3 linked regions of the Caenorhabditis elegans genome follow. The protein of the gene in region 3 interacts with the protein of the main gene of each other region in a pairwise test. Each region holds a gene or a part of one and is shown on either strand. Other genes may lie near its edges. The genes, in order: sma-6, daf-4 and tsp-14.

Region 1 (9,199 bases), on a different chromosome or scaffold from region 3:
CTGACACGTAGCTTGTACTTGACTTCGGGATATTCTGAAAATTGTCATTTGAAATGTGGACGGACGATTGAGTTGTATTCAAGTTGTTAGCACACTCAAAGAACTATTTTCTCGGAGCTCCAGACAGGTTCGAGGCTATAACATCTAGAAACACTGCAACATGGCCAGTCTCGTTACAGCTTATCTTTAATAAATCGTGGCAATCCGTGTTCTTGACATTACAACAGTTCTTCTACGAGAAGAAAGTTTTGAAAAATGTTCGAGAAATCTAAATTGCAAAACTACGTACTACCACGAGTCACAGAGGTAAGCAAAACTAATTGTGCTCCGATAGAGTGAAAGCTTGTCCAACTGTACCAAATCAACGCAAAATTACACTGACAGAGACTAAAGTTTCACAGAGAGTTGCACCAAAATTTGTAGTAGTCCAGAGTCCCAAGAACCAATTCATTCGACGTCAACTCACCAAGTTCTGCACTATTCAAAATGATACTTGATGACCAGATGCGTTGTTCTCCATTGTCACCAGTTGTGATGGGCAAAAGGCCAGCAAATGAGAGTCTGAGACCAGTCCGATCGTGCACAACAAATGGTGTATTGGTTGTGGACATGTGCGTCAAGAGACGTTTCATTTCATTCGGATTTTCTCGCATTTCGGCTTCTTCCGGCGGTGTAGTCATCACTTCGAAATCGTCTTCTTTGCATTTTAACATACTGCGTACGATGTTAATTTTTGATGAAAACGAAATAATCAAAAACTGATTTATTTTTTTCCAATCGTCAATATTTTTTCGTTTTGAAGTTCTTAGTTGGAATGTCACGGAATGAAATAGTGTGGCAGTAAAAATAATATTAGTTTCAAAACAATTCCCTTGCGTATTATTTATTGTCAGGAAAAAATATACATCATGAATCTTTTCCCATTCTTGTTGCCTTGGAGATTTCATTATTTTGTCGTCTTTTTTGGACTTCAATTTTATATTCTTGTTCCAGTACATTACATGTTTATATTCATAATGTGAGAACTTTTAAGCTTCATTGTGTTAAGCTGTAGTTTCAGAACTTTTTATACTTTCGCTTTTTGAAGCTTTCGGCAACCTTTGCCGGGACTGAACTTTCCAAAAACTCATAGAATCCTATAAAGTGTTTTTTTATTCTAAAACACTGGCACTGGTAATTAACTTAAGTATTCAAAACATTAGTTTCATTTTTTCTAAAATTTCTAGAAGCCCAGTATTGTGAATAAACTAAAGTGCCCTCAAAACGTATCATACTATTACAAAATTGATATTTCCGATAAGTGCTCAGAACTCTTTAAAAAATAATATTTGTCGAGTCCCCAGTAAACTATTAATATTTTATAAGTTGGGAACAACAAAGAAGGAAATGTAGAATCAGATTTTCATTGTCAAATAAATATCATTTTTGAATGACCAAAACTCAAAGCTTGTTTCAGATTTTTCAATATTTTCAGTTTTGGCAAATTTCCAAATTTTTAAATACTTCGGAATTCTTGCAAATTTTTGAGCTCTTCTTTGATCAAAAGTAGGATTATTGGTCGACTTTCAAAATTATGATAGGCGAAGCAATATTGTAACTTGTTATTTTGTTACTTTCCCTATTATGATTATTTTCCCCTGTGTTTGCCAAATTTTCCAAAAAAGTAAATTTTTAAGAAATTTCAAACGGTAAACCCCTACAACATTTGAATACAAAAAAATAAAACTCGTAGATTTTTTTTTGCCGACTTCTAGTTCTTCACTAATTTGTGACTATACATAAAAAATTTCAGTTTTTTTTGGTGTTACTATGGTATTGGGACATTTTTGCACTATAAGCATGGTTTCATGATATTTTCTTACTGACGATTTTAATTGTAGTACTATAAAAATTTGTCGTGCCCTTCCGAATCTTGTATTCATCCGGTGCCCAAAAATCGCTAAACTTCAAACGATAGAAACAATGAATAGATATTGAAAAAAAGAAACACCTGGTGCAACCCTCTTTTACATAAATCTAATCCATCTATTTTTCTCAGAAAAATGGCGCCACGCCATTTAATGACCCCGTCATTTTATGGGGTGGCGCGACAGAAAGGCGCCGCACTTCTACCTATTCTCCGGTCATACATATATCCATTTTGGCGCAACTTTTCCGTTCAGATCATTAGTATCATTAGGCGGACAAGTTGTCAAAAAGAACATTAAGTGAATGATGAGATAGTTAAGAGAGATAGTGTACTGATAGAAGAGGCCGTAGATTGAAATATTGTACGAAACGGAGAGGAAACTCGGCAAACAGTCTTTTCATCTCTACCTCTGTCTTTACTCGTTCTATTTTCATGTTTTTCGCAACTGACTTCATTAACAATATATTTTAATCAATTTATTTGCAAATTTCAGATTTAATGAACATCACCTTTATATTTATTCTCATTTTCGGATTTTTCAATACTCAAAAATGCTCAAAAGACTATGATCACTTTGACGATGAAGACTTAGCGTTGAGCATTCCAAAAAATGCAATAGGAGTTCCAAAGGAGTTCAGGTACATGAGTTTTTATATTTTATCAAAAATTCAGTTTTTCTTATCAGGCAACAAGTTTTAAAAGAGATGAAGCTTCGGAACAGACCCAATGATATTTTGAAAAATCGATGTTATTGCAATTATGATCAGTCGATATGTGGAAATAATATGACATGTGTGAAACAAGATGGAGCTGCTTGTTATCATGCCGTTGAAGAGGTAAAATTAACTTGTAGCTCTTGAAAGTTTCCGTTTTATTTTTTGGAATATTTTTACACCATGGAGGTTAGCAACATATGATCTAGGCGTTACCAGTTTTTTAATGAATGGATTTTTCTCATTTCTTGAAACTGACAAATTATAATAATTTTTTTTTTTTGAAAAATCGATGTTATTGCAATTATGATTATTTTCAAAATTATAAAAATAAATTTTAGGTTTATAACAAAGCTGAAAAACGAATGGAAACTCTTCATAAATGGGGATGTGCAACACTGGAAAGAGGAAGTGGAGCTTCACATTTGACGGTGTTTCATCGAGTTTTTTGAAATATTTCACCAGGTGTTTTTCAGTGTAATTCTTGGAGAGCAGCTCACCATTCTCCTAAAAGTATTGGTTGTTGCTATGAAGGTAACTATTGCAATAAGAATTTGATTCCGCCGGCATATGTTCATCATCACAAGGGTGAGTTTTTTTTTAATTTAAATTTTTTAACAGGGACTATTCAGAGAAAGCACTTCAAGAGAAAACTGACAATCCAGAAGACTATGATTCTCCACTGGAAAACATGACACGTGGAGGAAAAATGTTCATAATGGTATTTGCAACAGTCATGTCGGTTTTTGCAGTCATTGGATGTATTTATTTATGTATTACAAGAGCAGGTGAGACAGTTTTTAAATTACTAAATTGATATTTTGTTTCAGAAGAAAAATCTAAAGCCAGAGCCAGAGCCAAGACGGTGTCTCTGAAAACAGAATCAACATACATGGAGAGCAAATCAATGCTCGAAGACTCAGGGTTCGTTTTTATTTCCTAGAGTATTTGCGATATAGAGATATCATACCCATTATTTTGAAAGTGATGTTTTTAACAAATACAATTTTCAGAAGTGGTTCTGGGCAGGCTGCGTTGATCCAAAGGACAGTGAGACAAGATTTAACAATTATTAAAACAATTGGACAGGGAAGGTAAAATTAATTCTTATTTTAATCTTTGTTGCCTATATTTTTTAGATATGGAGAAGTTCGCAAAGCTCTGTATCGTGGAAGTTACGTGGCTGTAAAAACATTCTACACAACTGATGAAGATTCATGGAAAAATGAAAGAGATGTATATCAAACTAACATGATCAATCATGAAAATATCCTTCGTAAGCTATTTCAGTAAAATTACTTTGAATTTCAAGAATTGTTTCAGAATTCGTGGCGGCTGATATTTGGAGTGAGGAAGATTCAATGACAAAGATGCTTCTTATCACTGATTATCATGAACTGGGATCTTTATCAGATTATCTTTGCCGTGAAGAAACATTGACAACAGATGAAGCTCTTCGACTTATTCACAGTTGTATATGTGGTATTGAACATCTACATGCAGCTGTACACGGAACTGGAAGCTTTAGAAAACCTGAAATTGCACATCGAGATATTAAATCAAAGAATATTATAGTCAAACGACCAAATGTGTGTTGTATCGCTGATTTGGGTTTGGCACTACGATAGTGAGTTATTTCAAATGATGCATCTGAAAACCAAAGATTTAGTTGTTCTGAAATTTAGAAAGAATAATGTTTTCAGTCAAAACGACAAAATTCTCCCTGAAAAATTCAATGTTCAAGTTGGAACAAAACGATATATGGCTCCAGAACTGATATCAAACAAGTTGAATCCAAAAGATTTTTCTCAGTTCAAGATGGCAGATATCTACTCAATGGCACTTGTTATGTGGGAAGTTGCAATCAGGGTTGAGGTATGATTATTCAATGAGTTTAAAATAAAGGCCATGATTGTAGGTAAACACCTGTGAGGAAGTGTTAACTGTCGATGAGACCTCTCCTGATCACAGTGCATCAAGTGGTATCGGAGAGTCAGTTAGTTCATCTGGTAATATATCGAGAATGCATCTACAAAAAACAAATGTAGAAGGACATTCTACATCTCTGAAAGCAAAACAACATGTCCCACCATTCGATGGAATCGTGCACAATGATCCCAATTTTGACGAGATGAACGATGTAATTTGTGTACGTCGAATACGTCCACCACCGGATCTTGCCTGGAAAAACGTCCCAGCACTTAATGAATTGAGCAAGTTGATGGAAGACAGTTGGCATTCAATTCCACACTTCCGACATTCTGCTCTTAAATTGAAAAAAGAAATGGCTGAGTTGATCAAAAACCCCGACAGACAGGTAATTCAACACGTTAAGGAGCTATATCTAACTCTATGTTTTCAGAATCAATCGCAGCGTAAAGTTGAATTCCAACAGCAAGACAGTGGCCTTGTTGAGTCAGCCACCAATCAATCTTAACCCACTTTCTGATCTTACTTTCGTTGTACCAAAATTTTTGGCTTCTTTAAAATCAATTTTACTTTTTCAGTTTTGTTCATATTTCCACAACGGTCAAAATTTAAAGCGATCTCTCTAATAATTTCCCATCAATTTTTTAATTGTGCAACTCTTATGAACTTGTTCTCATCTCGATTTACTGCAATTTTTGTGAATAAACATTGTTCCAGACCTGTACGTTCGTGTTGTAATTATGCGACATTATTGTCCATCATTGCCTAATATTTCCTTGATAGATTGCCGATAAGACAAATTCTTAACTTGCGCTCCCTGTGGCAGAAGACGGAGCAAACAAAATTATCAGCTCAACCATGTTTAAATGTACGTTTATTATCTCTCTATCTGAATCTATCTGGATTGGTGTGCACTGCATTTGTGAGCAAATATAGGCATACTTGTACGTGGTTTGATAAGATAATACTGCACCGTTAGACAACTCTTTTGGGTGAAACAAAAGGGAGACAACTGCAAGTTGCATCAGTTGGAACAATGAAACATTAATTCGTTAAAACACAAAGCACATCTGATATCATTTTCACAATTTATTTCGTTTATCACATATTTTAGAAGATCATCCTTTTGTAAAGTTAAAAGTGGATTCATGATATTTTAATTTTGACAAATCTCGACTAGAAAATTTTTAAGGATATCAAATATTTCAAGAAATTTCTGCACTGCAAGTTACGGCAAAATGTCCATCTGTCTGGATTTATTTTGTAGGTGAATCACTTGACTGTAGAAATCGAATATGATGCATGCAACTAAGTCTTTATTTCACAAAGCTTTTTAAAGTATTTTTTCAATTGTAAATTTGATAAATTCAATTTTAACTTCGCACACAAACCAGAAAGATCGGCAAATCAGCGAGATTTATCACGGTGTTTGCAAATCGTTGAATAACCATCAGCGTTTTTATATTGAAATTGAAACTTGTTCTGATACAGTAATTTTCAAAGAACCATCCATGTACAAAGAACCATCCATTGAATTTTTAAGAAATTGTTTCATTATAGTTAATTCCAGTTTAATACGGAATGGAAACAGTTAAGGTTGATTTGTCGAAGCAGGAAATGTATTTTCTTATAGACCTGGCACAATTTTTTTACGGGAGATTTGAAAATTGTGCCAGAAACTTTACAATCTAAGTAGGTCCTTTAATTGTATTCGTTTTTTTTTGTATACTGTCTCTATGATTACATCAAATCCCAGACATCTTGACTCCTTGCGTAGATTTTTGTTGTATAATTCTAAGTCTTAAATTATCAAGGCTCTTGTATTCGATGAGAGTGCCTATCAAGAGAGGAATCAAGTTTTCAAAAAAAGAAGCAAACGTAAATTGGAACTGGGAAAGCTTAAAAAAATATTCTGACTTAAGAGTTTCCCATAAGCAAATTGAAATAATCAATCAAAGAAACATTGTGATTTCTAACAAATGTCTTACAGTATATGATATTTACCCGGAACTCATGATAGCAAAAACTACCGTCAACAAAAATCAGAAGTTGTTTCAAAAACAGTTAACCGATTTCTCAAGTCTTGAACTAGAAAATGTGCATAATATCACGTACTTTGTCATGATTTTATGGCACTCTTCCAGTTCAAGAACAAGCGGTTTTCGAGTAGAATATGAATACGAAGTAATTGTAGATAATAATACAAAGAGCACTGTTATCACCTACACCACAATTCTCTTTTATAGTGACACAAAAGTAGGTGGGCTTATGGAATGGTAGATAGTTGAGACACAGAAAAGATGGTTGCCTATCACCAAATGGGCGGTGTCATCGATAACAATGCAACGTCGGGGGGCGACGGAGCAGTCCACATATAGATCGATACTTTTAATTGGTGTACGAAGGTGCAGCAACGGATTGACAAAGGCTCGTTAAAAATAATATGATTAGTAACGATGAGAACTTTGTGAGGGTGAGGGTCAAAATTGAAGGCTAGATGATTTTTGAGATATTGGGCTCAGTGGGGGATTGAGCCTAATATCTAGTATCTAGATAAGTTCTTTAGCTGGATAATCTAAATGATTAAATTAAAATAATATTGAAATATTCATTTTAAAGTATTTTTTGTGTGGCATTCAATACTAATTTCCTGACAAACAGTAAATGATTAAAAGAAGACTACTGTGAACGTTTGTTTCTGCAAATCACTTCTCCAGAACTGAAACAAAACATTAAATACTGGTGTAAAAATCAGAAATACCGTAATCCTTCTATTAGTATTGGCCCCTGCTGCTTTGCTTTAAAGGGTATTATCTCACTTAATATTAAATATATCAATAAATATTACAATACAAACGATAGAAAAAGAACTAACAAATATTTTGTTAGTTGACAAGTTTAAAAAGAAACCTACGACAACTGAGATATAAGCTATCAAAAGTTTACCACTTCAGATCAAGTTAAACTTGTATAAAGATTGGAAGATGTTCACTTCGTTTTTTTAAACAACTTTTACTGGTGATTTCTATCCCCTTTTTACTTTTTTTCAAATCCCGCCATACTTAAATATCGCAATTGATGACCAATATTATAAAAATTGATACTTGCTGATATCAAAATTAGTCAGCTTGTGTCGAGATCCAATGAGACAATCGGTAACCGTACCTACATTTATTTGAGCTTTAAAATGTGTATTTTAATTAAAAAGTGTATCATCTTCTTATAAATAATTTATTGATTAGACATACTGTAATTTCAAAAATGAATCTGGAATTTTAAAGAATGAAAATAAGAAAACAAAATAGAGCACAGATAGAGATCGTTGTACACACACAAGAACCAAAAAGGAAAGGGGGAAGAAAGTTTCTTTGGGATCGCTATGGATTTCAGGTATCTAGTGTACTGAAAACTGCGGTACTGGTACTGGGGCTGTGCTATACTGAAAATAGAAATTTGATATCAGAATTTAAAGAAAAGAAAAGCCAATGCTTCTCTTCGTAAAAGATATCGTATTTACACTGGCCATGGAACATGAATTAATTTGTAAAAATGATTGAAAATTATGATTTAGGATCGTGAGCGGAGTTCATATTTGGTCTTCTTCTCCGAAATTATTGGTTCAGCATTCTCGTTTCCACGGAGATAACTGAAAGCTCCATTCATGTTCTTCTCGCAAGTGCAACATTCACAGTCTATGTTGTTTGGACCGAAGAATTCACTGCCGTAGAAGCAGGTGATTTCGTCACCGGGAACCATGTCACGAAGAACCTGCAAATTTACACATTTGAAATTAACATGATATCAATAAACATACTCGAATGTGAGCTGTACTTCCATGTGATACGAATTCACAGGTCGGCCGACAGTCATGATTGATATAGGCACCTGGACCTAGCCATAGAGTCGAACAGCGTTTTCTTGTGCTGTACATCACAGAGAAATCGCTTCCTTCTTGAGCCAGTATAGAATCCTCATCTTCGCTGGATAGCAGGCACACGACACCGCTGAGCCGCTCAATTTTATCGCCGCGGCTCCAAACCCCAGTTGAAACAAGTTTTGCACCTTGATGACCTTCTTGCGAATAGCGTTTGCATTCTTGGATGGTGTACCCAGAATCAAGTATGAACATATTGAGAAATCGAACAATCTGGAATAAACAGCAATTTTGTTAAAATTAGATTTCAGGATATGAACTAACGTGATCACGGAATTCAAATAGCTTGTTCGGAGGAAGTTTCGAGAGGAAATGTGAAACACTTCGGAGAGTCAAAAGTCCGTAAATTGCATTGGTCCAATCTCGTTGCTCTCTGAATGTTTTCATAACTGTTCGAGCCGTTCTATACTCGTCCTGATACAAATAGCGTCGCCTGAAATTTTAATAATGAACGAGATATAGAAAGGCCGATTATCTTACTTTTTGCTCATTTTATGGGTAGTAAAGTTGAGAACCGAGTCGACGACAAGCGTAGTAGCAAAATCATCAAAATAACATAGTTCTGTTGGAGTCATTGAGTGATCCGAGCGAGGAATGTCATTGAACGTCACAGAAATGTTGGCAATCTGTAAATCGATCGATAAAAAATTTAAAATAAACAGATTAACTTACTTGCTCGTGTAGTTGCATTCGTTCAGGCGTTGACTCATTTCT
Region 2 (11,964 bases), on a different chromosome or scaffold from region 3:
ATTGTAATTCAAAGTATCTTTAGGGTAGTTTTTATGAGCCTAAATTAGGATAAACACTTCCGCTTTGTCGAAATTATGAACAGTTAAATAAGACATACCTACCTACCTATGAGGCCAAATTCTATTTTGAATGTAAATAATTTTTTAAGAACTTAAATTTCCTTGGCGACAACAGCTATCGAAAATTATAAGTTCACGAAATGCTCATCATAAATTTCCTGGAGTTGACAATATTTGAATAAGTATCCTAGTGGCAGAGATAAAATCGGCCAAAGTTCAGATGTAAGGAGGTGGGGCAAGGTTGGTAAGGACATTTTTCTAACTTTTTGAACTAATTTTGTACATGTAGACATATAAATGTGCGGTACGTAGGTTACGTAGGCAAGCAGGCAAGCAGGCTCAGGCAAGGCTTGAGGCAAACGCAAAGAATACTTGCCTGCCTGCATCAAAGCGAACAATCTCTCATGCCTACATGTTTGGGTAGGCACGTAGGTAGGCACGTAGAAAACTGCTTTTACTACTTTCAACACTCCCAAATTAGAAATTCTGGCAGTTGCCGAAGTCTGCACACTCGGCATTTATTAGAGGCTGCTTGGCAGAAAAATGGAAATTCTCACTATCAGCAAAATTATTGCTTATCACTAAAAATTTGCTCCCCAAACCACCGATTTATGCAGCATAATCTCGTGTTATTCTTTCCTTCCTCATAATCATCTTCTCTCCCAATATCCTCTTTCCAATTCATAAAAAATGCAGTGTATGAGGAAGAAAGAGAGATAGAGAGAAAAAAAGAAAAAGACAGAAAGAGCGCTGAAATTATTCTCTCAACAAATCGAACGCGTGGTTGTTGTGGAGAGGAAGAAGAGACACGGGCGGCCGAATAGAGAAAGTTAGGCGTACGAAAGAGGCCTGAAACGCAGACATGTAGACAAATGCAAGTCCATCGTCTCTTCATTTCGTGTACTCTCTATCGTCTCTTCCCAGTTGACGACCCGAACACACGGCTCACAATGCCCGGGCACATCGACTAAATGATTGCGCGGGAAAATGAGGCACCCAGGTTCCACCTCACCGTCTTTTTCTCTTCCTCTCTCTTTTTGCTCTTCTAATTTCCGTTGGGTGAATACTGCTTCCCGGGTGTACCTTTTTTTGAGCTCGCCAGTTGCAGAAAAGTTGTCGACCTACTTTCTTCTTTCAAGTAGGCAATCGGCAATAATGGTATTTGCGATAGAGCTATTTGGGCAATTTTAGCATCTAATGGCGGTTGCCGAAACATTGCCGAGAATAACTAAATACTAGAAGTGTATCTCCCTGACAACCTCATTCTTTTTCTCCTCAAGCTGAAAGCTCCAATTTGTCATAATTTGCAACTTTGAAACTTTTTCTGATTGTCAAAAATCTGCAAACTCACCTTCTTCCTGCTTTACACTTTTTCATCTTTCGTTCAATTTTTCTATCTTTTTTTCTAACAGTTTTAGTAATGTCAAACATTTAGCTTCGTTATCTTTTTTCTCTTGCACGCCTGAAAAGGGTTGCCAACTTACAAGATATAGCAAACGTTTTGACAAATATTTTGTTAATTGAATTTTTAAGTAAATTTTACCATTCTTTCTTTTTTTGGAGAGAATAGAGAAATGATACATTCTAGCTTCTATGCGGTTCCCTTTAACATTCCTTGATAACTCTCAATGTTCTTGGCAATTATGGAAATTCCAGAAAATTGTATGTTTAGTATCCATGTTCACTTTCCGCTAATTTCTGATCTACTGTTCAAGTTCTGACCACTTAAAACATCTCCCCCTGAGTGTCCTGCAAAAAAAGTTATATGTGACTTTTTCAACATTTTTTCAACCCTCCCTGCAAATCGTTTGACCTATTTGGAGTGCGTCGTGGGCGGGCTGGTAATGACCATCATTTTCCCAAATAAATTATTTTCGGAAGTGTTCTTCACGGTTTGTGTTTTGTAGTCAAAGTTCTAGTGAAGTTGTTTGCAACTTCGGAGTACTTTGCTGTCGAGGTATTTCCGTAAGAGTTAGGAAAAATAATGTCAATTGACAAATTGTAGGAAAGTTTGTGCTGAACATATTTGAGCAATGATTGTGCTATTTTTTTTTGCCAATTCTGAGTTATATCACTTCATAGTTAATATTTTTTGATATTTATAATCGCAAAATTCATATAAAATCTTAAACTTTTATTCCCACTGACCATGAATAATATTAATTCACTGAATAACTGATGATAAGTACCCAATCTTTTTTGTTTTGTCTCTCTTTCTCTCACTACTATCTCTCTTTTCTCTTTTTCAAATGAGAAGAACTAAAGCAAACAAGTTGTGTCCTTTTTTTCACTAATGTTTAACCTCGAACCGACAGCGAAACCACACTTTTTTGCTGCAATTTAACGTTTTCTCACACGATTGGACCTTTTCATGGAGGTCTTTTATATTGATTTTTTTGAAGATTTAAAACTGTTTTTAAAATTTTTATACTTTCGACCCATCATCAACATCAAGTTTATTTTCTTCTTATAGGTAGCTAACCCCATAATTTTTGCGACATTTCCTGTTTTGAAAATGAAAAAAAAAGTTGCGAAAAATAAGTTAAAATGCTACAAGATTTATGTTACAATTTTAAATGTTCTCATGGAAGAAAATAATAAAAAATGATTATTTGGAAAAATAAATACAGGTTGTTCACGAGGAGTACTTGAACTAATGTTTTGAATTTGATCTAGTTATACGGAAAAATTTGAAAAAGTAAACATAAGTTTAGTTCCCGCCGAATTAGGTAGTATGTATTTTTTAATAATTGAAATTCGAATAATTTATTTTTTTTCTTGACAATTATCTCTTTTCATATAATTTTCAAAACCGTCGTGTACTCATCGTGAGCAATATTGCTTGTTCTTCGACCTCTTACTTTGAACTCGATGGTTCCTTCAGGTATTCCGAGGCCTTCAGGTTCCTACTATTTTGCTCTTTTCCTTCTTCTTCTTCTTCATCTAACATAAGAGAGCTTTGGTCTTACACGCCTGCTGCTACCCTCTCCTCCTTCTTCTGCAACAACAACAAACCCACCGTGGTCACATGTGAATTTCGCCGAGTTTCACGCTCTTTTTCCCCCTTTTCTTTTTCGGCTTTTGCTGCAAAAATAGAACGAGTGAATAATACCCAGAAAAAAGCGAGTGCTTTGTTGTTGTCAAGGTAAACACAAAAAATATATGAAAAATGTTCAAAAAATATTCGTTTTGACATTCTCTTCTCCCACTTAAGTCGCTTGATTCAATGTGACGGGGAGGCTTGAGGCAGGAGGAAAAGTATAAATTCACCTGAAATAACGAATGGTGACATGTTTTTGAATAAGAAGAAGGAAAGGATGACGTTGAGTGGTACTTTCTATTTTCGTACGTTTTACAGAAAACTTATTGAAACTTAGCGCCCGACATCTAGCCCAAACTTGGACGAACACCTAAGCCTAAGCCCAAGCCTAAATCTCATTTTAGACTTTTAGCCGAGCCCACGCCTACTCCAATTCCGTTCTGCTGAAAAAAACATACGTTTTCCTGGTACCACGCACGAAATATAATCCTGAGAAACTTTTTTTGGTTACATTACATGTGTATAGCACATTATTTAATTTTTCCTCGAATTGCTAGTGTATTTTGGGAACCGAAATATGGAAAGTCCAGTTAGTCCGAACTTCGCCCATTTCCTATAAGGTGCAGGTGTTCATCGATACTATATTTTTCTCAAAGTTCCCGTTCTATAGACCCCGGAAGATCCCGCCTTCATTCTGTTTGGGCCCCGCCCAACTTTAGCCCCCTCCGATGAGAAAAAGAGCACAAGAGGACAGCGAGCCCCTCTTGTAAGGTTCTTGTAGGTCAGATTGTCACGTCATTTGATTTTTTGTTGTTGTTTATTAGAGAACATTGAATGAAAACCTTTTTTTATTTGAAACAAAAAGTAGAGAGTAGAGTTTGTAAAAGTGATAAGAGTGTACCAATCTTTGCTGTTTCCTCGTTCTTTTTCTCTTTTCTCTCTTCATTTCTGATGTGTGCTTCTCACTTCATTTTTTTTGCAAACTTTTTGTGCTTCCTTAACACTTTTCACATCTTTCGTTTGATGGAGATTGTGCAATTTATTCCTATTTTTACGGAATTTTTGAAAAATTTGGTTGACATTTTTTAGTTGAAAGTTTTGAACTCTCATGGTGCATCGAAGTAAAATTCAAACATTTTATTTTAAAAAAATGAAAAGTTTTTTGTTAAAAAAATTGGAAATTTCGAATGTCGAAATTCGAAATTTTTTTATCCGAAATTTCGATTGCTTTTATTTGAAATTAAGAAATTTAATTTTCATCAAAACTAAATTTTTAAAATTTTAGCTGGAAATTTTAGCAAAGCTGGCAATTTTATTTAATTTTATCGAAATTTTCGAATTTTCGAATTTTTGAAATTTTATTTATTTTTTCTCAAGTTGAATTTGTTGACCTATTTTTTTTATTTAAATAAGTTTGCATCTATTTTTCTCAATAAAACATTTGATCTTAATTATTTATTTATTTTACTCCTCAACTTTAAAAAAAACGTTACAATAATTCAACTACCTTCAATTTTCAGATGAATCAGAAAGGGACAGTACGTCTCAAGGCACTTGTGCTCATTTGCCTTCCACTCTTTTTAATTGCCACACCGGTTCCTGTTGCAGTCACGGAAGACGATCGTCAGGACCGAATCGAATCGGAAGCCGCCGAGAAAGAGGTGAGCATTTTTTGAGAAAATGTGTTTTTGTCGTAAACTTCTTTATTTTATTCTATCTCCTTGGTTTAACCATCTTTCAGTGGGCTAACACCCTAGTCAGCAAAGTAGCACAGTCAAATGGAACTGGCACTATTAAGGTCTCGGCACCAGCGAAGCCCACGTTAAGGAGAATGGACAATGAGGAGGATGAAGTGATTTCGATTGAATGTGTAGTAAGTTTTTGGATCAATTTGATGGAATTTAGGCTCATTAGATAGTGTTGACGTTTTGGGGATCAGAAATCAGTGACTCTCCCGTTTGTTTAAAAATTACTGGATCAAATACACTTTAATTCCAGTGAGCCCTGTTCCCCTTGTAGAGGTCGCAGAGCCAATCCACCCACATTCCACTGATCCTTGTTTCAATTAACTATAGTTACTTTAAAGTACCAAGATATTCTAAAAGGGATAAGTTCAAACCCGCAAGCTACAATAACTACAACTCCTTTTGTTTTTCAAGTGTTATCACTATTCCATAATTATAGGCTCTCTTCCCCAAAATTAAAGCAGTAGTAAAAACGTTAAACTTTAAAATTTTGCAGTACTACGACGAGATGGAATGCGAAAAGAGTGGCGATTGTGAAATCACAAAGAAGACGTGTTACAGTGAAGCTCATCTGAAAGCCGTCGGATGCTTGGCCGTATTTGGGCTGCCCACGCAAGAGGTTAGTGTGGAAGAGGTTTTTGGCGGCCACCCCCAGACCGAACTGTGTCACATGACGGGGGCCCTTTATATATATTGTTTCATTTGTTATTCATGAGTGACATCTTCTTCCTCTTCATCCGCGGAAGTATTTGTATCTTTTGCATTTTTTTTTCCATTCTGGCTTATGACTTTGTCAGCTGGAACAAATTGGGGTGACATGACTCGTGATTTTTGATAGTTTTGTAGGATGGAATTTGAATATCAAAATTAAAATCAGAATTGCATTAGTTTTATCGAAAACAAATACATATGAGCAAGGTTTTGGCCTTTTTGAAGACGACTTTGAAAATTTACTGAGCGACATAGGATTTAAACGTGGAACTTGATTCAAATTGAAAAAAATACTGCGGAAAAAGTTAATGATCAAGGCTTTATTATTCCTTTGCTACAAAGCTCTTCAAACCAAACTTAAAAGTTGTTGAGTTTATCAATCCAATTTTGATCGAATCCATTAAAAATGTGCAAACCAACTAATCCGGATTTAGCTGCCCATGTTTCAAAAGATGATTAATTGAGTAAAGGGGATAATAATAGATATATGCATCCATATTATAAACATCAAAAATCTTAAAATTTCCAGATAAACTCTACAGAACCATACCTGAAAGTTGATAAACCGCAATACAAAAGTCTGGGATGTATGCCGTATCAGCACGCGGACTCGATGAACTGCGAGAACGAAAGCTCCGTAAGTTATATTTCAGCATTCGGAGCACCTCATAAAACTGGAATTTCAGTGTCGCCAAGGACGATCATTTCGCGGCGGAATTGGAATGTGCTGCTGTTCGACCAACAATTGCAACATGCCGGATCTCATCGAGATGGTCAACCCGTCATTGAAGAAGGGTCAGTGAGCACATTATATTAAGAGAGCACTATATCCCATGTTTAACCCCATTCTTAGTATACTAGAGCAACACGCAATGATTCTGTTTTTGTGAATATACATATATATCACCTCCTTCTTTTTACCTTTTTTACCTTCTTTCTGTCCCACTTTCTGTTTAAATAACCTTCTTTCGGGTGAGCGTTGGGGCTAGAGGCTAGGGAGAAATTGTTGGCATTGAAATGAGAGGTTTTCTGTGAAACATTTAGCTTTAAGTTAGCAGAATTTTCACGAAAGTTGAACAACCACGCGTGTCTGTGCCTAGTTATTTTTTCGAAATACGGTTCATCATACGGAGGTTGCCTCCCATCAACTAAAATACGACAGAGTTGGAGCACATTCGAGAAAATTCCCAGGAAGTTAGACAAAAATGTGGCAAACTAACGACGAGTGTAGGGAGATAGTGGACGGAAGTTGGCAAACGTTGCGAGCAAATGAGAAGCACCAAATTGCAATATGTCCTAATGTAGAAGCGTTCAGGCGAAAGTTCGAGAGAGTTTGGCGATGTTTGGTTTGAGCTCGGCCACAGTAATAGGGAAAGTGACGCGAAGTGTGATCAATCTGAGTCAAGCTTTCGACAAGTGAAAGACGAGAGTAGGAGTTGAGGAGCGGGCCAGATGGAAGACGGAAGCTGCGACGAATCTTCAACTAATTTATGAGCGTTGAAAAAAAAAGTTGGAGAGAGGTTATGGGGTTATTCAAGTAGTGTCGGAAAATTAAAAAGTGTAGAAAAATTACGTCACAACCTTATTCAAGTAGATAAAAACATGTATTTAAATACATTTGTGACGTCACAAATGTATTTAAATGCATTTTGCTACATTACTTGAATAACCCCATTAGAAAATTTTGAATGGTCTCTACGGATCTCAGCAAACGTTCGTCCAAACTGCGACAACCTTATGACGCGTTTATGATAAAATTTGAAGTTGAGACAATGAGAGAGAAGGATAACCGAGCAGAGGTTGAGAAGAAAGCTCGAGAGAGCTTGGCAAACATTGAAAGATAGTTCAGCTAGCCCTGAGACAATATTTTGCGCCAAAGCTGAACAAATTTCCGGTGGAAGTCAATCGGAAATTAAGAAAAATATGGAGAACTTCCCATTACTTTAGCTATACTCCTCCCAACCTTTCCCCGTGTACCCTCAACCTGAAAGAATCCACCTCTGTAAAAGCCTGCAGTTGTCATAAACCTTGTTCCCAATTTCTCTTCCCTTTCCTAATTTTCTCCGAAAAAAATGCACGTGGACCTCTCCAGATTGTCTCCTAATTTTCTCTTACCCCTCACACATACACACACACACCATTCATGCAATTTTATGTTTGTTCTTGTGGCTTTGCAAGTAAACCACTTTTTTATTTCAACTTTCTTTTGTTCTTTCTGTTTCTAGAGGCGATTCGCAACGACACTCTGCTGTTATTTGGCTCCTCCCCTCCAGTGAGCGGAGTGTCGTTGCAAAGTGAAACAAACGCTTTTTCGTAATAATTTGCACCCGTGGAAGATGCCTGTACACACACACACACATACAAATAAAAACATGTACACATTTTGAAATCACCTATTTAGAGCCGATAAAATTTCAGATTCGGATAATTCTGCACTTCTGTGGGCTTCAACTCCATCCAACATGGATTTGGAATCTCTAGGTACTGTCTGCATCTACGTCTCGGGGCTAGCTGGGTACTAACTAGGTGCTAAACACCCTCTACCACACATCCCCCACTCTTGTCAGTTTCTCAATGGAGCGAATTTGCAGACAAGTTCCCATTCTACTGGATCATCATAATCGCACTGTCAGTGATCCTTTGTATTGCACTCTTGATCTTGGCATACGTTGGTTGGAAATTTCAGCAGAATAAGAAGGAGGAGATAAAAAAGCAGCAGAAAATTAAATTTGACATGGCGAGTTTTGTCTTTTTTGAAATCGAATCAATTTTCGAAATTTTCAGGAAAAAACTGACGCACTGGAAGCTGGAAATGTGCCTCTCGTGGAGCCGGAAGAGGAAATGATTGAAATGGTGGAGACACCAAAGGAGCTGCCGATCACTGATTTTCAGGTATGTAGGTACCGCAAGAGTCGTGCTTGATATTTTATATTGAAACATGCTCTCTAAATCTAGAATACAACATTTGAATTTTGAAAAAAAAACCATATTGGTGAAACTTTTCAGCTTTACATGAATTTTTTAAAAATTATCAAAAACAATTGTTAACATAACTTAAAAACAACGAACAATTCTGAAAACATTTGAATTTATGGTTTTTTAACAGTGTCGGGGAACGTTTTCATTTGGCATTGGAGCGCATTTGCACTTTGATTTCAAAATTCACATATTTCGCGTCTTCATAATAGTTCGTCTTTTTGATATTTTGCTCGGAAGTTCGACCTCACGGTGTAAACTTTTGATGTCCACTACTTTGTGAACTCTGAGCTTTTCCTTACTTTTTCTTTATCTTTGAGAAAAAATGTTGAAAACAACAGAAGGCTCTTTTCATGAGCTGATTGACGTCACACTTACACTCAATGACATTTGTTCGTTTATTGCAGTTAATCTCAAAGGGACGTTTTGGAAAAGTTTTCAAGGCGCAATACACCCCAGACAGTGGTGAGAAACGATTGGTTGCGGTGAAGAAATTGAACGAATTCCAAAAAGCGAGCTTTTTGGCGGAGAAAAGAATCTTTGATGAGCTTAACGAGTACCCGAAGTGGTATAAAAGTATCGTCGAATTTGTGTGCGCCGAGAAAATTGGTGATGAGTATTGGATTGTGACCGAATTTCATGAGCGACTTAGTCTCTATGAGTTACTCAAGAATAATGTAATTAGTATTACATCTGCCAATCGAATTATTATGTCAATGATCGATGGGCTTCAATTCTTGCATGACGACAGGCCGTACTTCTTTGGACACCCAAAGAAGCCAATTATTCACAGGTTAGTGGAAAATGAAAATAATTAGAAAATTTTTAATGGATCTGACTTGTGATCGCCCTCCAACTAGTTTTAATGCTCAGAACTTTACTCTAGGTTGGTCCTAGAAAAAATCGGAAGAAGTTGCTAAGTTGCGCTTGAGCAGCCGACATTTTCAGGATCAATTAATAGTAGCGTGGACCTACAAGTTGTCGGCTGCAATTTCCAGTAAATATTTTTTGAAATACACACGATAGAGTCCAAAATGATAGGGTAAAATATTGAAAAAAAAAAACCAATTTTTAGGCGCATGACAATTTTCAGTTGAAGTTTCGAAAAGTTAGGGTTTAGAAAAAAAATAAAAATTCAAACAATTTTGTACATTGGAACACCTAAAGTATCTAGAGTTAATTAGAACATAATCAGAATATAAATTTCGCGGGAAAATTGTGTACAAAGTGTTATTATGATATTCGGTTTACTATCGGAGAGATTCTAACCAATGCTCCCAGTAACACTACGTTACCTTTTAAGAGCAGGTAGCGAGTTTCAACGACGCACGACGCTGGTTAGTGTATGCTCCAAACTGTTTCTAATGTCTGTACTTATTCAATTCAATAACCAATTTTTTGCAGAGATATCAAGTCGAAGAACATTCTTGTGAAAAGCGACATGACCACATGCATCGCGGACTTTGGCCTCGCCCGAATCTACAGCTATGACATTGAGCAAAGCGATTTGCTGGGTCAAGTGGGAACGAAACGCTACATGTCACCAGAGATGCTCGAAGGAGCAACCGAATTCACGCCAACTGCTTTCAAAGCGATGGACGTTTATTCGATGGGACTCGTCATGTGGGAAGTCATATCCCGTACCAAGTTGCACCAAACCGACGAGCCACCAAACTACCAAATGCCGTTTCAAGTCATCGGATTTGATCCCACAATTGGTCTCATGAGAAATTATGTGGTGAGCAAGAAGGAACGACCACAATGGAGAGATGAGATTATTAAACATGAATATATGAGTCTGCTAAAAAAGGTTACGGAAGAGATGTGGGATCCCGAAGCGTGTGCACGGATTACAGCTGGATGTGCGTTCGCGAGGGTATGGAATCATATTATGAGCTCACCGGACAGTTCGGAGGGGTATCACAGTGGAAGTAGTATGAAGAATCGGGGTGTTGATGATGTTGAACAAAGTGAGAAGCCGGAGGGTATCGAAGAAATGCAACATTATCATGCGTCGTCACCCAGCAAGAGACAACATCCTAGTCCGAATCCGTTTTTTGATTCGTGTCCACCACCTCCGCCGATTCCTGTGATCCTTGAAAATGGTGAGTGTACAGTGAATCGAATAAATAGTTGACATGACCCGTGAGATGTCGGCTGCTTGTGAAAAGCAGTTTCTAAATTTTAGGTGACTTCCCAGGAGATGTCGGATGCTCAATGCAGCATAGCTTTAAACCTTGAGCAGCCGACATCTCACTGACTAGTTATACGTTTGTGTAGGTAAATGTAGGATGCTGGTAAATGACCGACCGACATCTTATGGGATACGAATGGCTATGCTAAAAAACATCTCACGGCTAATTAATTGGTTTTGTGGTAACAGTTTTCTGAAATGATTGGCTAGTCCCTAGCAGCCGATGTTTTGTGAGTTCACTGATGTTTTAAGAGTGCCCGCTGCGTGAACCAACGAGCAACCGACGTTTTGCGGGTTCCAAAACCTTATTTGCCTGGCGTAACTAGTAAAGTGTCGCCTGCTATTTTTCCTTTTTTATAAACAAAAATTATTTTTCAGGAGGAATCCTCCAACCAGACAACGCGGAGCCAGAGCCCGAAGAGCTGCCGGATCTCCCGATAGTCGAGAAAATCTACGATATTGCGACGAACATGCTATTCTCAAGAGAAGAGCTTGACCTTATGAATGCTCAACGGCAAGTTGAATACGAAGCTGGGGCAGACACTCGAGCGTCGACACCAACGCCTTCAGGGACGTTTGGAACGTTTACAACATAACTATTCATTCAAATCTAACATTATTTTATATTATGATTATACTCCCATCCTCTCCTATTCTAGTCTATATGTAGCGGTGGACACCTCACGGGCCCCTCGCCGCTGGCCCACCACCTTGTCTCTACTTACGCGTCCCCTAATGATCTCAATTTGAGCACAACCGGTGTATATATCAACTTACAGACGTTCAATATAAGAACCGCTAAAAGTTCTATGTCTTCGTCGTCTAAAACTCTTCCAAAATCTCTGATCTCTTGCATTGTCTCTCACTCAACCAAGTTGCCCACTCTCATCCAACTAACTCAAAAACTTACCTCAGCCCATGGGGCATCCCCATATTCTCTCATTCATTCACTATATTCATTGATCTGTGATAACTTTGTATTGGCAGTTCACATCACACAAGAATCTTTTTTTGTATATCAGTTGATTATTTATTCTTCATTTTTTACACTTAAAATTAAATAATGTTTCTTGCTATTCACGAAAAATTGACATTTTTCTTTTTTCAGATTCATCCGGAAATACCCATTTTTAGACAGCTGATATGCCTCATCACCTGCCACTAGTTAGAATGTTTCCTTCACTTCTTATTTTGTTATTGACTATCAACTTTCCGTCTATTTCAACATAAAACATTTC
Region 3 (11,923 bases):
GGAAAGAGCCATTCGTTGTCATTCAATCTTCACTTTCCATTCCAACATGGGCTCCTCACCTATCCTCCTGGTACTCGCCATCTCGATCGGCCTAGCTAGTGCTTGTTTCCTGAACTCTTGTCCGTACAGGCGATATGGTAGAACTATTCGCTGTTCCAGTTGTGGTAAGTTAAAAATTTAAAGGAATCCGAACAAAAAATTATCTTATGCTCTAATTTAGGAATAGAAAACGAAGGAGTTTGTATTTCTGAGGGAAGGTGTTGCACCAACGAGGAATGCTTCATGTCAACCGAGTGCAGCTACAGTGCCGTTTGCCCAGAACTTTTTTGCAAGGTTTGAATTTAGCATGTTGAAATAAGTAATAATGTGACGGAAGTTTAGATTGGACACCACCCAGGATATTGCATGAAAAAGGGATACTGCTGTACTCAAGGTACACTTTTGAAACTTAAAAAATGTAAAACTATACAAGTTTGGTTCCAGGTGGATGTCAAACAAGTGCAATGTGTTAAACGGATCAAGCAAGCAAAATCTTCAGGAATGTCAACTCTCAAGCGACCAACTTTTTTTTGAATTTGTTGTGCTTTGAAATTTGAAATATTAATAATAAATGTCGTTTGAATGTTTGAAATTCTTTATTTACAACATCGAGGAATCAATTTAGAAAAAAAACAAGCTAAAAAGTGTAAAGCGATGGCTAGAATTCCGGACAATGAATAGGCAACTTGTTTGGCGACCCAAGTATGAAACAAGAAAAGACGATGTTTGAAAGTAAGTTGTTGCTCATGGCCAACTCTGTTGAGCGGAAAGAAGAAAGTGGTACAAATTTCTATGGAGCACCAGATTGTGTATGGCAAATTTAAAAATCGGTCTAGGTAGATAGGAGATGAATTTTTGGAAAGAGAGATGGGGTGGGGGGGAGGTTGAGTTGGGGGCAGAAAGAAATGGGAGGCTAAAATAAGTTATATCACCGCGTTCGAGACAGAAAGATTTGGTATGTATGAAACTGAAACAGTTGTTAAATTTGAATATCATTTACTATAACATTTATGATTTGCTTTTTTGAGGAACCAAATCGGTTTGCTGCAGTACCCATTGATGCGTTCGATTTGTCGTGGTTGCCTGTGGCGTTGGCGCGGGTCCTGCCGCGGCAGGAGGTGTTCGAGTCGTTGTCGCAGTCCTTTTTCGACGAGCTGCCGCGTTTTCAACCCCAGCAGATTTGGGCTTTCGAGTTGGAGAGCTACTCGCGTTTCGTGACTTTTTCCTCGGCACATGCTCAATTGGTGGTAGCGGAGGCGGAATATCCGGTGGTCTCGGCCTTGTCTGAAAACAATATTTTTAAAACAAAGATGGTCTCAGACATCTTTCTGATTTTCCAATTCATTTGGTGGTTTTCGAGAAGCTTTAAGAGAAATGCCCTATGCTGGTCCTTGCGAAACTACAAGCAGTTTAGTAGCCCCCGCGGTGAGAAATGATGTGATGATGACGTGCATAATATCCTCCTGTTTACAAAAACTCTTTGGAAGAACGATGATTAAGATTGTAAGCTTGCAATCCGTTGCAGGAGGAGCGGGCAGATTTAATATATTTTTTTATTTTTATTATCAAAATGTCGAGTTTTTTGTTTGCATTTTTTGAAAACATTTGCGTGAAAAATCACGAAGTTTAAACAATCACGTAGTTCAAAGAATGATCTAATTTCACTAATGGAGTACATCATACTTGCAAAAAGTGTTATAAAATCTTACGGCATTAGCAGAAGCGTTGTTGAATTTTCCTTCTTCAAGTAGATCCAACGAGTTCAGTTGATCTCTACGGTTATGATCTCGCTTTCGCCGTCGATCGTTTCGCCGTGCTTCCCGCTCCAACAGGTACCTCTGATGGTCGACTTGTTTTGCAAGGATGTTGGTGAGACACACCGAGATACACTGAAATTTCAACTGTTACTGTGGAAATTGTGTAATTTTTGACATACCACTGGAACAATGAGAAGAGCAACGAATGCTCCAACATGCACTGCGTGGGACTCGAAAAGTGTCCGAAGCGGCTGAAGGCATCCGCGGGTGTAAATATCGTGTTCCAGGTCGCCGGGTCGTTTTGTTAGAGCATTTTGCCAGCACTCTAAAGATCTCATTGCAGGTAACAGTGGATTTGATGATCCAGCCTGAAAATAATAATAATACATATATGTAACTTGTAACATCAATATAACATCAATATCATTTACTATATATAAAGCGCGTGTCCTTCTGTCCCTATGTAGTTTGATCTTTGATCAGAGCAACGAAATTTTGGGAAACCTTATGCTAAATGCGCAGCAGACATCGATCGAGGTCCGCGATAGACACCGTATATCTAATGTGTTTTCTCAAAAAAGTCGGGGGCCGCGCCGTAGGTGCGGTCCACGGCTGGTATATGTATAAGTAACATCAAATCAAATGCGTCACATTTAATCACACATTTTTTGCATTAAAAACTTATTTTGTTATCCGAAATTCCTTGACTCAAATAGAAACATTTTGGATCGGAATAGAAAACATGACTGATCATGTTTTAGAGTTTCTATATATATTCTTTGATAATTCCGAGAAGTAGGTATAATAAAAAGTCTGGGTGGTAAACTTATTTTTTATTGGAGAATCGGAATTGGAAAAGCGGAAATTTTTTATTGGTTCATCGCCTAGTATTACCCGTGTTATTTTGGAACTTTGTAGAAGTGCCTTTTTTTGCAAAGAAAATGCGCCTAATTTTGCATATTGAATATTAATATTTTTCAAAAATCTAACAACATAAAAACATACCGCTTCAGAGATAACAGACTTCCTACAGCATGAAAATGGAACTCCACACTTTTCTGGTTGAGGATTTGAATTGGTACAGTTGAACTGGTAGCTCATGTTCCAGTCTCGATATCCTTGAGCAATAGATGAAACTCCACAACATTCCAGCTAAAGATATTTACTTTCGAAATCTGTTAGCGATTTATACATTGTGCCTATAGTGTCTATTGTGTCACAAAATACGACCGTACTTTCTATTAAATTATCTTCTTACATTTTCTTGAAGTGCGTCCATGATTTCAGCCAGGTTTCGATTGGTGTGGTAGTTTTTGACGGCATAAAGAAGTAACCAGTTTGCAGAAAGACCCTAAAATATAAGAAACTCAATCTCTATTAAAGATCTACAAGTAAACTACCTCTGTGGTGTCCGTGTAGAACAATGTGAAAAAGACTAGTGTCACTGCCACGACTAGAATGTAAGATAAGAAGACACAAGCGGCAAACTGAAACAATTTTCTACAATTTGACACTTTTTGGGAGTTCAAGGCTTACACATTTGAGCAAGAAAATATTGTCGCGCAAGGCACCCATGAAACCGAAAAATGATACAACGCATATTGAAAAACCGAATATACTAATAAGAATGGCTGGGTTTAGAATGATATCCACCAGCTTAACCTCTCGAAAATCTTTGATAAATAGGTATACTCCGAGTGCTAGGATTCCAACTCCGACAAGCTGCAAAAATGTTTTCTGGTTTTTAATTTGATATTTGTATTTGAGCAGATTAGATTAATTGAATTTCATTTATAGATCTTGTTTTTCCTTTCTCTACTTTTGCCGCCAACTCTCATTTGGAAAGACTCAAACGTTCTCAATTCTTTATAGATCCATACGTGCCGCATAGACGCAGACATGGCTTATGCAAATTAGGAGCTGATGCAAAGAAAGGTCATCCTCAATTAACATTCGGCAGGAAATGCACAAACACCGAAAAGGCAATTTGGATGAGAGGGGGGGGGGGGAAGGTGAAGCCTAACGCACTTATGAACTTGAGTGCTTCTGAAGGCGAACGCGATGGGCTATAGAAGAAAATGGGGTAATTGGCTTACAATTTATGACTTATTCAACAATTCCCTCTTATTCATGAAAATGGTTTACTTGTTCTTAAGAACTTGGAAGCTCAGTTGCTAAAATTAATGGCTCACTAGAAATAGGATATTTCAGTATGAAATAACTGATCGTTGACAATTGCCAATAAGTGTTAAAGGCCCGTAAATTTAAAACTCTTTTTGATGACATTTTTGTTGAAGTTTGCTAAAAAAAATTCAACTTTAACATTACTTAGACTTCATACCTACTTAAAACAAAATTATTTAAAAAATGAACCGTGAGAGCAAAAAATCAAAACGTGAATATTCAAAAAAAAAGGATTTTCTATTGCACCCCACCATTCCACATTTAAAAATTCTATCTCGGCTGATTTTGAAAAAAAAACTAAAAAACTGTAGACAAAGATGGTATGCACTACTTACTACGGTGCAGTTTTTTGCAAATTTCGAGCATTTTTTAAATTCTTTTCTCATTACAAATTCAACCATTCTTTTTTCATACAACTTTTCTCAAATCCACTGTACCGTGACTCGGCGCTTTTCTCATGGTGGCCTACAGTCCTGTTTGAACAATTCGAGTAAATGACCCATTGCTAATGGCCAGCATTAGTCCAGAAACAAAAATCCGATTGGCTAGATACGAAAGGACAAGGGCAAAATACAATGAGTCTCTACATTCCTTTTTGCAAAACCAATCAATCTGTGGCGGCTTTGTTTGGATGTTTAAACCTAGAGGCAGATGGTTGCACGAAACAGGTGCATACAAAAATTCTTCTTAAGGTGTTTGATGTCTGTTAAACAAAGACCCTCACCCATCTAATAGACCTATTCAAATCCTATGGAAGAAATTGAAGTGAAACTCCATTATACTCAATACTATATCTTCTTTTTCGAAATTTCTCAATTTAGGGAATTTGCAACTTTGACCACTTTGACTTACGAAGACAATTGAGTTGAGTAGGAAGACGAGCCATTTGAGGCATGCAGATATTTCCTGTCGTGGTTTGCGTTGCTTGTGTGATGATGAGACCACCGCGCGAGCTCGCGTCGGCTCGCCGGAGCCCATCAGCAGACACTGTTCCCAGTCACAAGCGCCCGGTGCGCTGAAAGAATGTGATTATTAATTATTGGGGCGATAATAAACAAATGATAAGAAATGTGTGATTTTGATGAATGTGAATGGGTGTTATGAGTGACGGCAAAGAGATAGAAGACTTTCAAAGCTGGCTATTTAGCTATTCAAAAATTTTGTTGCGAAATCAGTGAACCGCGAAATGGTGGAAATCACAATCAAAATGCAAAACAAGTCTAGGCAAGGAAAATGGGAAATGGAAAATAAGACAGAGAATAAGATACCTGCGTGACCAACAGGATAACGACATCTGTCAATTAGGATGAGCAGATGCGGGAAATGGAAGATGAGCCCCCAATTACATGTCTCAATAATAGAACAAGAAAGTGAAAGTTGTTGAACAAAAGGAACGGGGGTTACTCCCTCCCTTCCTCATGTAAGTTGTGATGAAGGTCTGGTCTTTTGCACGAAAGTCTAATCAAGGAAAGTGAAAGAGAACCAGGCAAAAATTGAGGATTGATGGATAGACGCCACTCTCAAGCACCCTCAGTGTGTAAAATTAACTTCAAAAAATTCCAGCAGTCGACAATCTTGTAATTAGTTCAAGTTATCTTCTCAAGGGTAGAAGTTTTTTTCAGAAAATACTTCTTTTCAGATAAAAATCGTCAAGTACTGTGCCAAAAAGGTATCACCACCTAGATTTTCGGTTGTTTTGCAAATTTTTCAACGAGTATAACTTAGAACAACAAACAATGCTATGAGGAAACGTTCAACTGACAAAATATTGCAAATCACTTGTTTTTTTTTTGTTTTTACATGTTCAACTTGTTTACAAGGGTCGTGGCAAAAAGCAAGGCGACCCACAGGTCATGAGTCCATTTTTGAGAATGGTCAATTAATCGAATGCCACTCTAAAAGAATATGTTGAATGGAAAGTTGTAGAATCAAAATAGAATTCATATAATGTTTCATTGCTTGCAGTTATTAATATTTTTTCCAAAACCGTGATGAAAACACATATGAAAATTTCGAAAAAGTTTACAGTTGCAAAAAATAGAAAACTTATAAATTAAAAAAAAAAAAGAATTTTCCATTTAACATCTGGTGTTTCAGTTACAGTCGATATATTAATCAACATCAAAAATAGACTCACGAGATATTGGTTGCTTTATTCTGACCTCAACTCTTGTGAACATTTTAAGCATAAAAAACTAAGAGACATAATTATGAGGAAAATTTTATCTGTTGAGCATTTTTGCATAATATTTCTGGTTTCTGAGTTGAAAATATTGCTAAACTACCGATCTACTGAAAGGGGATACCTTTTCGGCCAGCACTGTATACAAAAATATAGAGAAAAGAAGGAAAAAAGAAAAATAAGTCATTGAGGGTTGCCGATATAATTACCGAAAGTTGGTGTGAAAGTGTGGGCCTAGTCTTCTTCTGAATATATGGCAAAGCAAGGAAAAAATTTAAGACAAAAACAATTTTAGTAACATAAAGGTATGGTATAATGATAAAATGTTTAAATATCTTTTTTCAAATTAAAGGCAAGTTTTTTTTGAGTAAAAAGTGGTGCATATTGAATTGAAATCTGAAGCACTGCCGCATGAAATGTTAGAATATTAATACTTCAAAAAGAATTAAAACATAAACTTGGAAAAAAAGGTGTTTGATCGACGACTTCCAAAATAAAAATATTTCCTTTTTTTTTTTAAGTTTTATAATGATATTTGGCAATTTTAGTACTCCACCTTCAATTTTCACAGTAGCAGCTCTTTCAACTGAAAATCTAAAATTGTACAACACGATACCAGACGTAGAAAGAAAGATGACAAGACAACGGACAGAGTAATGGGAGGAAGCACACGAAGATTGAATAAGACGATAGGAAAGAGGGACGTCGTCGTCCTTTTCGCCTTATGCTGCTGGTATCGTTTGTGGGGTGTCGAAGAGGAAAGGACGTAGGCTATGTATGTGTGTGTGAAACAAAGCCTTCCGCTTAAAAATGTACTTCAATAACTTTGAGACTTAGCCTTGAAATCAAGAGGCAAACACGACGGCTTGAAATGGTCTGGCGGCGCTTTTTCCAATTTTTATGGTCACTGGGTTAGCCTCCTATCTTCATGTTTCGCCGATCGAGAAGGATTCAATAAAATCGAAAAGAAGGAGAAACGGACGAGACAATGATCAAAACACTTTTTTTTTTGGAAATAGTGTAACAAAAATATTTAGACAATTGGAAAGTTTGGTTTTCAGAGTGGTACGGTATTTCAATGGGTGCATGAAAAAAATAATAAATCGGTTTTTCTTTTTATCTTGTGCCTATTGAAACAAGGTAACAATCATTGGATATAATTTATGATTAATGATAATTGACGATTTATGGGGGATCCATAAAATTTGAACGTCAAAGGTACTTTTTTGTGGGAAAGATTGGTCAAACTAGTATGACGCTTTTTTCGGATATTTTTTGTTCAAAAATAAGTTTGATTACTATTTCAGTTGGGATCTTATTGTTAATTGGAAAAAACAGGTAATTTCAAAAAAAAAGTAGTAAAAGATCACATGTGTACATTCTTTAAAAAGTTTCGTGACAAAATTGGAAAAGTTTTAAAATTTTCTTAGTTTAGAAAGATACCTTTCTAAAATATTTCAACTTTGATTTATATGTAGAGTAAATTTTAAACTATTATAAAAATTAAGTAGATTTCATTAATGAATCTCTGAATGTTACAGTTTTTTCCGAAATTTGAAGCACTGTTGCATGTTTGAAACCCTCAAATGTTGTAATAAGTTTATTACAAACCTAATTAAAAATTAAAATGAGGAGAAACGGTATTTTTTGAGCGACGACATTAAAAAATTGCGTAAACTGAGTTTTTACCACTTTTTGACTCGAAAAAAAATTGAAACATTTTTGAAACGTTTATGATATTTGGTTATTTTAGAACTATAGAAATGGTACTTCAACTCTAGATAATTTTATGTCATAATTTGCAAAAACTTTAAAATCCTGAATTCTGCCCAAAATATTTCGGAATTTTTCAAAAGTCAAACAATTACAATTTTCTGTGGGGTTCGACTACTTTTCCAACAATAAAAATTCAAAGCCACAATTGAAAGGTCTAATTAAAAACATCTTGGTCCACGAACACCACACGTGTTATATTTATTCCCCGGAACTTGCAAAAAACTTCTTCAGTGACGAAAACAGATGGTCACAAACAAACAATTTTGACACGTCGTCGTCATAGATCAAAAAAGAGGATGTGATAGCGGATAGAAGTGGGTCACTCAGTAACAATTGTGTGTCTCTTTTCCCTCTACAAAACAACACTTACGTCTTCATAAACCGTCGCGGTGCGCGATGGGGCATCTCATGTAGATTATTTCAGAATGGTTTCAGACAAAATTGATAGTAACGGCTGCCTAGCTTCAGGAAGTCGTTTAAAAAAGGAATATGGGCTTGGTGGGGAAATTGAAAGAACACTTGAAATAACGAGAACACGTCAACTATGAGAGCGGTGACTGGACATCAACTCTTCTCAAATAGAGGTCAGGCAGTGGATGAGGGTGGCTAGTGGCTAGCCAACCTCAGTCAACCGCCGCCAGGCCCAATAAAATTTATTCGCTATTATATTCTGTTCGCAAAAGAATGGATGAGATGGGCAGACAAGTGAGGGCTAGCATGTTTCACGTACTCGGGCTTCTCACCTGTTTCCGATGTGGAACTGGACATTCCGCTTGTTGTACTTTTGATATATTTACAGGTATAAAAGTGTTAAAATCTGCTTTTTGATCATAAATTAAAATAAAATATAGAAAAATAGTGACTCCAACTGAAAATACTATATCTAAAATAGGGTCTAAATAAAGCCGTTTAATTTTGAAAATGTGGCGAAATCTAATTTAGGCAAACGGAAAACTTCAGGCATTTTTTAAGGTTTTTTTTTTATTTTTCAACTAAAGTAAACATTATTTTGATATTTCAAATTAATTTTCAATCACAAAGTTGGTTTTTTCTCAGTTAAATAAGCAGTTTTGTTCGTTTGGCGTACAATCGTGGTACTAAACCCCTTAAAGAAAGAAGTAATTTTAGTGTGCAGTTGATATAAATATACATGATTAATTTACTGTGTACAAATATCATTCTTAAACACTTTCGAATGTTTTATAAATTTCACAAAATTTTAAGATAAAGTTTTGGCAAGTTGCCAAAATTTCAAAAGTCTAGATTTTTTGAGAAATTTAGATATTTGCTGCACGATTAAACCCTATATAACGGGCGCAAATCACTACTGACGCTACTTTGCGTTTGAAAAATGTACCCAACAAAATTTGGCACATTTTCAGCACACCTAAATAGTTCGCCATAATACAAAAATACAGTGAAAATACCCAAAACTTGATTAAGAGAACTTTCTATTTTTATTTCTTTTCCACTCGCTTTCATTTCTCCTTCTTTGCGGAAAATCTAATCTTATAAATTCATCAAGTGGACTTGAAGAAAGTTTATGGAAGGAGAATATCGAAAAAAAAACACACACACACATGCCTGCGCAGGCGCGTTTTCAGTTGGTGGCAACTTCAGATTCTCGAAAATGAGATGAAATTGGGGGATGGAAGCAAGAAAAAAGAGAATGATGTAACAGGTTGGAGAACCAGTCCAGAAAATCGCAACATATTAGCTTGGTCGTTGTCTTGGAGTGATAAAAAAGTGGGTAAGTGACTGTCGTCTTCTTTTTCGTTTCCTTGTATCACTTCGCTTGTTCCATTTAACTTCAAAAACGTTTTTGAAACAAGTTGAAGTAAAATGATGAAGAAATGCTTGCTTGGCACGGAATCGAGTAACCTCGAACACGCGTTGAATAATTGGTCGGTGGTCGAGAATAGGAACAAGCAGGTACCAAAAAAGGCATTGGCGGCCCGTTTGTCATATGGGAGTGAGGAAACGAGAAGAAAGAAAGAGGGCGAAAAGAGTAATGGTTGCAAAAAGGGGGAAGGAATACGAATTGTTGAGGAGCCCATTTAGATGTCGTGAAATATTCAAACTGCTTCGGGGTCCGAAGGCAACTAATTTCTCGAGTTGGAGCCATGTATCAAATGTTAACAACTGAGCGGGCGTGTTCCCTCGAGATGGGGTAGGTCAGTCAACATCCTACCCAGAGAGCATATAATTTATCAAAAATTTCAGTATATTGAAACTAATATATTTTCCCTTGTGGTTCATGAATCATTATTTGAAACAGTAAATTTGTTGTTCAAAAAGTATCGAGTAGATAATTTTAAGTTTCATATGTGTACTATATTCTCTCTAAAAGTAGGGCAATTTTTTAAATGTTGGTGACTTGTAATTTGTTGGAGAAGAAACTAAATTTAATAACGTTGAAAAAGTAGATGAAAGTATACATTTTCAAAACTTAATTTCCAACAATTGGAGCAACTGAATGCAAAACTGAGAGAGACAACTAGATACAAGTCACAGTCTTAATTTTAAAAAAATTCAACCATACTTTCAGCCGATGACAGTCGGCACATTGCGACTTTGGTGAAGTTTTTGAGAACCTTCTTGAAACTTTTTAATGAAAAAGCAAATTATATTCAAAAATAACACACCAATTTCCACATTGCTGTAAAAAATCTAATATAAAACTTCTACACAACGATAAAAAATTAGATTTTTTTAGTGGGCTAAACAAAATGTGCCGCACATCCGTTTTGAAAAATTTACGAATACATAGCCAACTACAAGATATTTTTTGAGATTCAAAATCGCGTTTCTTACCTTATTGACGAGAAACTAGATGCAACTTCAATGTGATCCATAGCTAAGAATACGATACCAGAAAACACTGCAGAATGATAGAAATGACATCTGTCTAAGCGGATTCTCTAAAAACCAAACGAAGAAACCCCCGCTGAGTCAACGTTTTTGTCTCTTGACTGTCAAGCGACCTCCAGTCAAAATTATGGGCTGGTTGTTCGGAAATGAATCCCTTGTTCTCCTCACACTCCTTTTCTCATATTGAGGAAGCGAGAAGATAAGTGGAATAGGAAATCACGCTCCTTGCCGTTTCTTTGGTATTTTCCGTGTGGTTTTTTATTTCTCGAGGAAGAGATTGAGAAACACAAAAAAAACAACGTTTGTAAAAGAATAGGATTACAGTAAAGTACATATACATTAGTCGTAACAACAAGCGTGCTGTTTGCTAATGAAATGAGATGACCCAAAACGAGAAAAAGGAGGTAACGGAAAATGAAAAGAAGAAGTGAAATGAAGGAGAAAAAACACAACACGGCGATTGCGTCGGCGAACTCAAACAAAGTGCGATTTTGAACGTCGAACACGAGATCAGAGGATGGAAAAGGGTGCACTTGACTTTATCGATGAAAGAGCACAAATGAGCCAATGAATCAGATCAAACGAGATACTTTTCGAGCAGATTGGAAAATCACCAGAGTTAGGCTCTTAGGTTTCGAAAAAGTCAATTTCTGAGCCAAATAATGAGCAATAAAATTACAATTGTTGTTTGTAGTCAGTGTTTCTGAAAACAAATTTTTTGTGATTTCAGGAGATATTGGTTCAGGGTTAGGAAATTAAGACAAAAAGAAGAATTTTCTGAAAAGCTACGAAAACGTAGAAAAGCTAATGGGAACTTCTGGAATGTTTTGGCGACCGGTGGAAAATTTGTAAAACGTTCGGAAATTTTTGAAAAGTTGTAAAACTTCAAGAAAAAAGTTCAGAAGAATTCTGAAGAGATCAACAACCCTAGGGAAAATATGCATTTTATTTAGTTCCAGAAATGTTGAAAAGTTTTCTAAAGAATTCTATAACTTCAGAAACCCATAAGTTCTAACAATTCAACAAATATGAAAATACTCCTAAAATAACTAAACTAAAATTTGAAAAAATAAAAGTTCCAGAAGAAAAGTTCAAATTGAGAAATAATTTTTGA

Evidence for each region.
Region 1: the proteins of tsp-14 (region 3) and sma-6 interact in a two-hybrid assay, tested with the Caenorhabditis elegans proteins (one study listed by BioGRID).
Region 2: the proteins of tsp-14 (region 3) and daf-4 interact in a two-hybrid assay, tested with the Caenorhabditis elegans proteins (one study listed by BioGRID).

The regions. Positions count from the first base shown.
Region 1 is NC_003280.10:6,322,082-6,331,280, forward strand, and holds sma-6 (Serine/threonine-protein kinase receptor sma-6), read left to right. Parts: upstream 1-2,402; 5' UTR 2,403-2,407; coding exon 2,408-2,547; intron 2,548-2,594; coding exon 2,595-2,745; intron 2,746-2,963; coding exon 2,964-3,053; intron 3,054-3,098; coding exon 3,099-3,210; intron 3,211-3,254; coding exon 3,255-3,410; intron 3,411-3,452; coding exon 3,453-3,546; intron 3,547-3,635; coding exon 3,636-3,716; intron 3,717-3,761; coding exon 3,762-3,898; intron 3,899-3,945; coding exon 3,946-4,249; intron 4,250-4,325; coding exon 4,326-4,497; intron 4,498-4,540; coding exon 4,541-4,939; intron 4,940-4,984; coding exon 4,985-5,059; 3' UTR 5,060-5,274; downstream 5,275-9,199. Other genes in the region: C32D5.4 (uncharacterized protein), read right to left, coding at 1-34, 467-998; set-4 (Histone-lysine N-methyltransferase Suv4-20), read right to left, coding at 8,119-8,319, 8,366-8,698, 8,750-8,918, 8,966-9,111, 9,158-9,175.
Region 2 is NC_003281.10:5,620,522-5,632,485, forward strand, and holds daf-4 (Cell surface receptor daf-4), read left to right. Parts: upstream 1-4,620; coding exon 4,621-4,761; intron 4,762-4,841; coding exon 4,842-4,973; intron 4,974-5,341; coding exon 5,342-5,464; intron 5,465-6,085; coding exon 6,086-6,193; intron 6,194-6,242; coding exon 6,243-6,351; intron 6,352-6,422; exon of another isoform or gene 6,423-7,685; intron 7,686-7,974; coding exon 7,975-8,037; intron 8,038-8,147; coding exon 8,148-8,293; intron 8,294-8,340; coding exon 8,341-8,448; intron 8,449-8,939; coding exon 8,940-9,325; coding exon of another isoform or gene 9,326-9,350; exon of another isoform or gene 9,351-9,577; intron 9,578-9,936; coding exon 9,937-10,637; intron 10,638-11,104; coding exon 11,105-11,322; 3' UTR 11,323-11,801; downstream 11,802-11,964. UniProt on the Caenorhabditis elegans protein: Involved in a TGF-beta pathway. May be a receptor for TGF-beta-like ligand daf-7. Controls the decision of whether or not larvae enter a developmentally arrested state, known as dauer, in response to environmental conditions.
Region 3 is NC_003284.9:4,866,065-4,877,987, forward strand, and holds tsp-14 (Tetraspanin-14), read right to left. Parts: upstream 8,430-11,923; 5' UTR 8,344-8,429; coding exon 8,309-8,343; intron 6,959-8,308; exon of another isoform or gene 6,824-6,958; intron 4,996-6,823; coding exon 4,833-4,995; intron 3,519-4,832; coding exon 3,333-3,518; intron 3,284-3,332; coding exon 3,197-3,283; intron 3,148-3,196; coding exon 3,055-3,147; intron 2,949-3,054; coding exon 2,802-2,948; intron 2,165-2,801; coding exon 1,976-2,164; intron 1,929-1,975; coding exon 1,749-1,928; intron 1,324-1,748; coding exon 1,048-1,323; downstream 1-1,047. Other genes in the region: ntc-1 (Nematocin), read left to right, coding at 47-164, 221-333, 382-433, 484-512. UniProt on the Caenorhabditis elegans protein: Functions redundantly with tsp-12 to regulate cell surface levels of the BMP type II receptor daf-4 (but not BMP type I receptor sma-6), probably by regulating endosomal sorting and recycling of receptors, preventing their targeting to degradative lysosomes.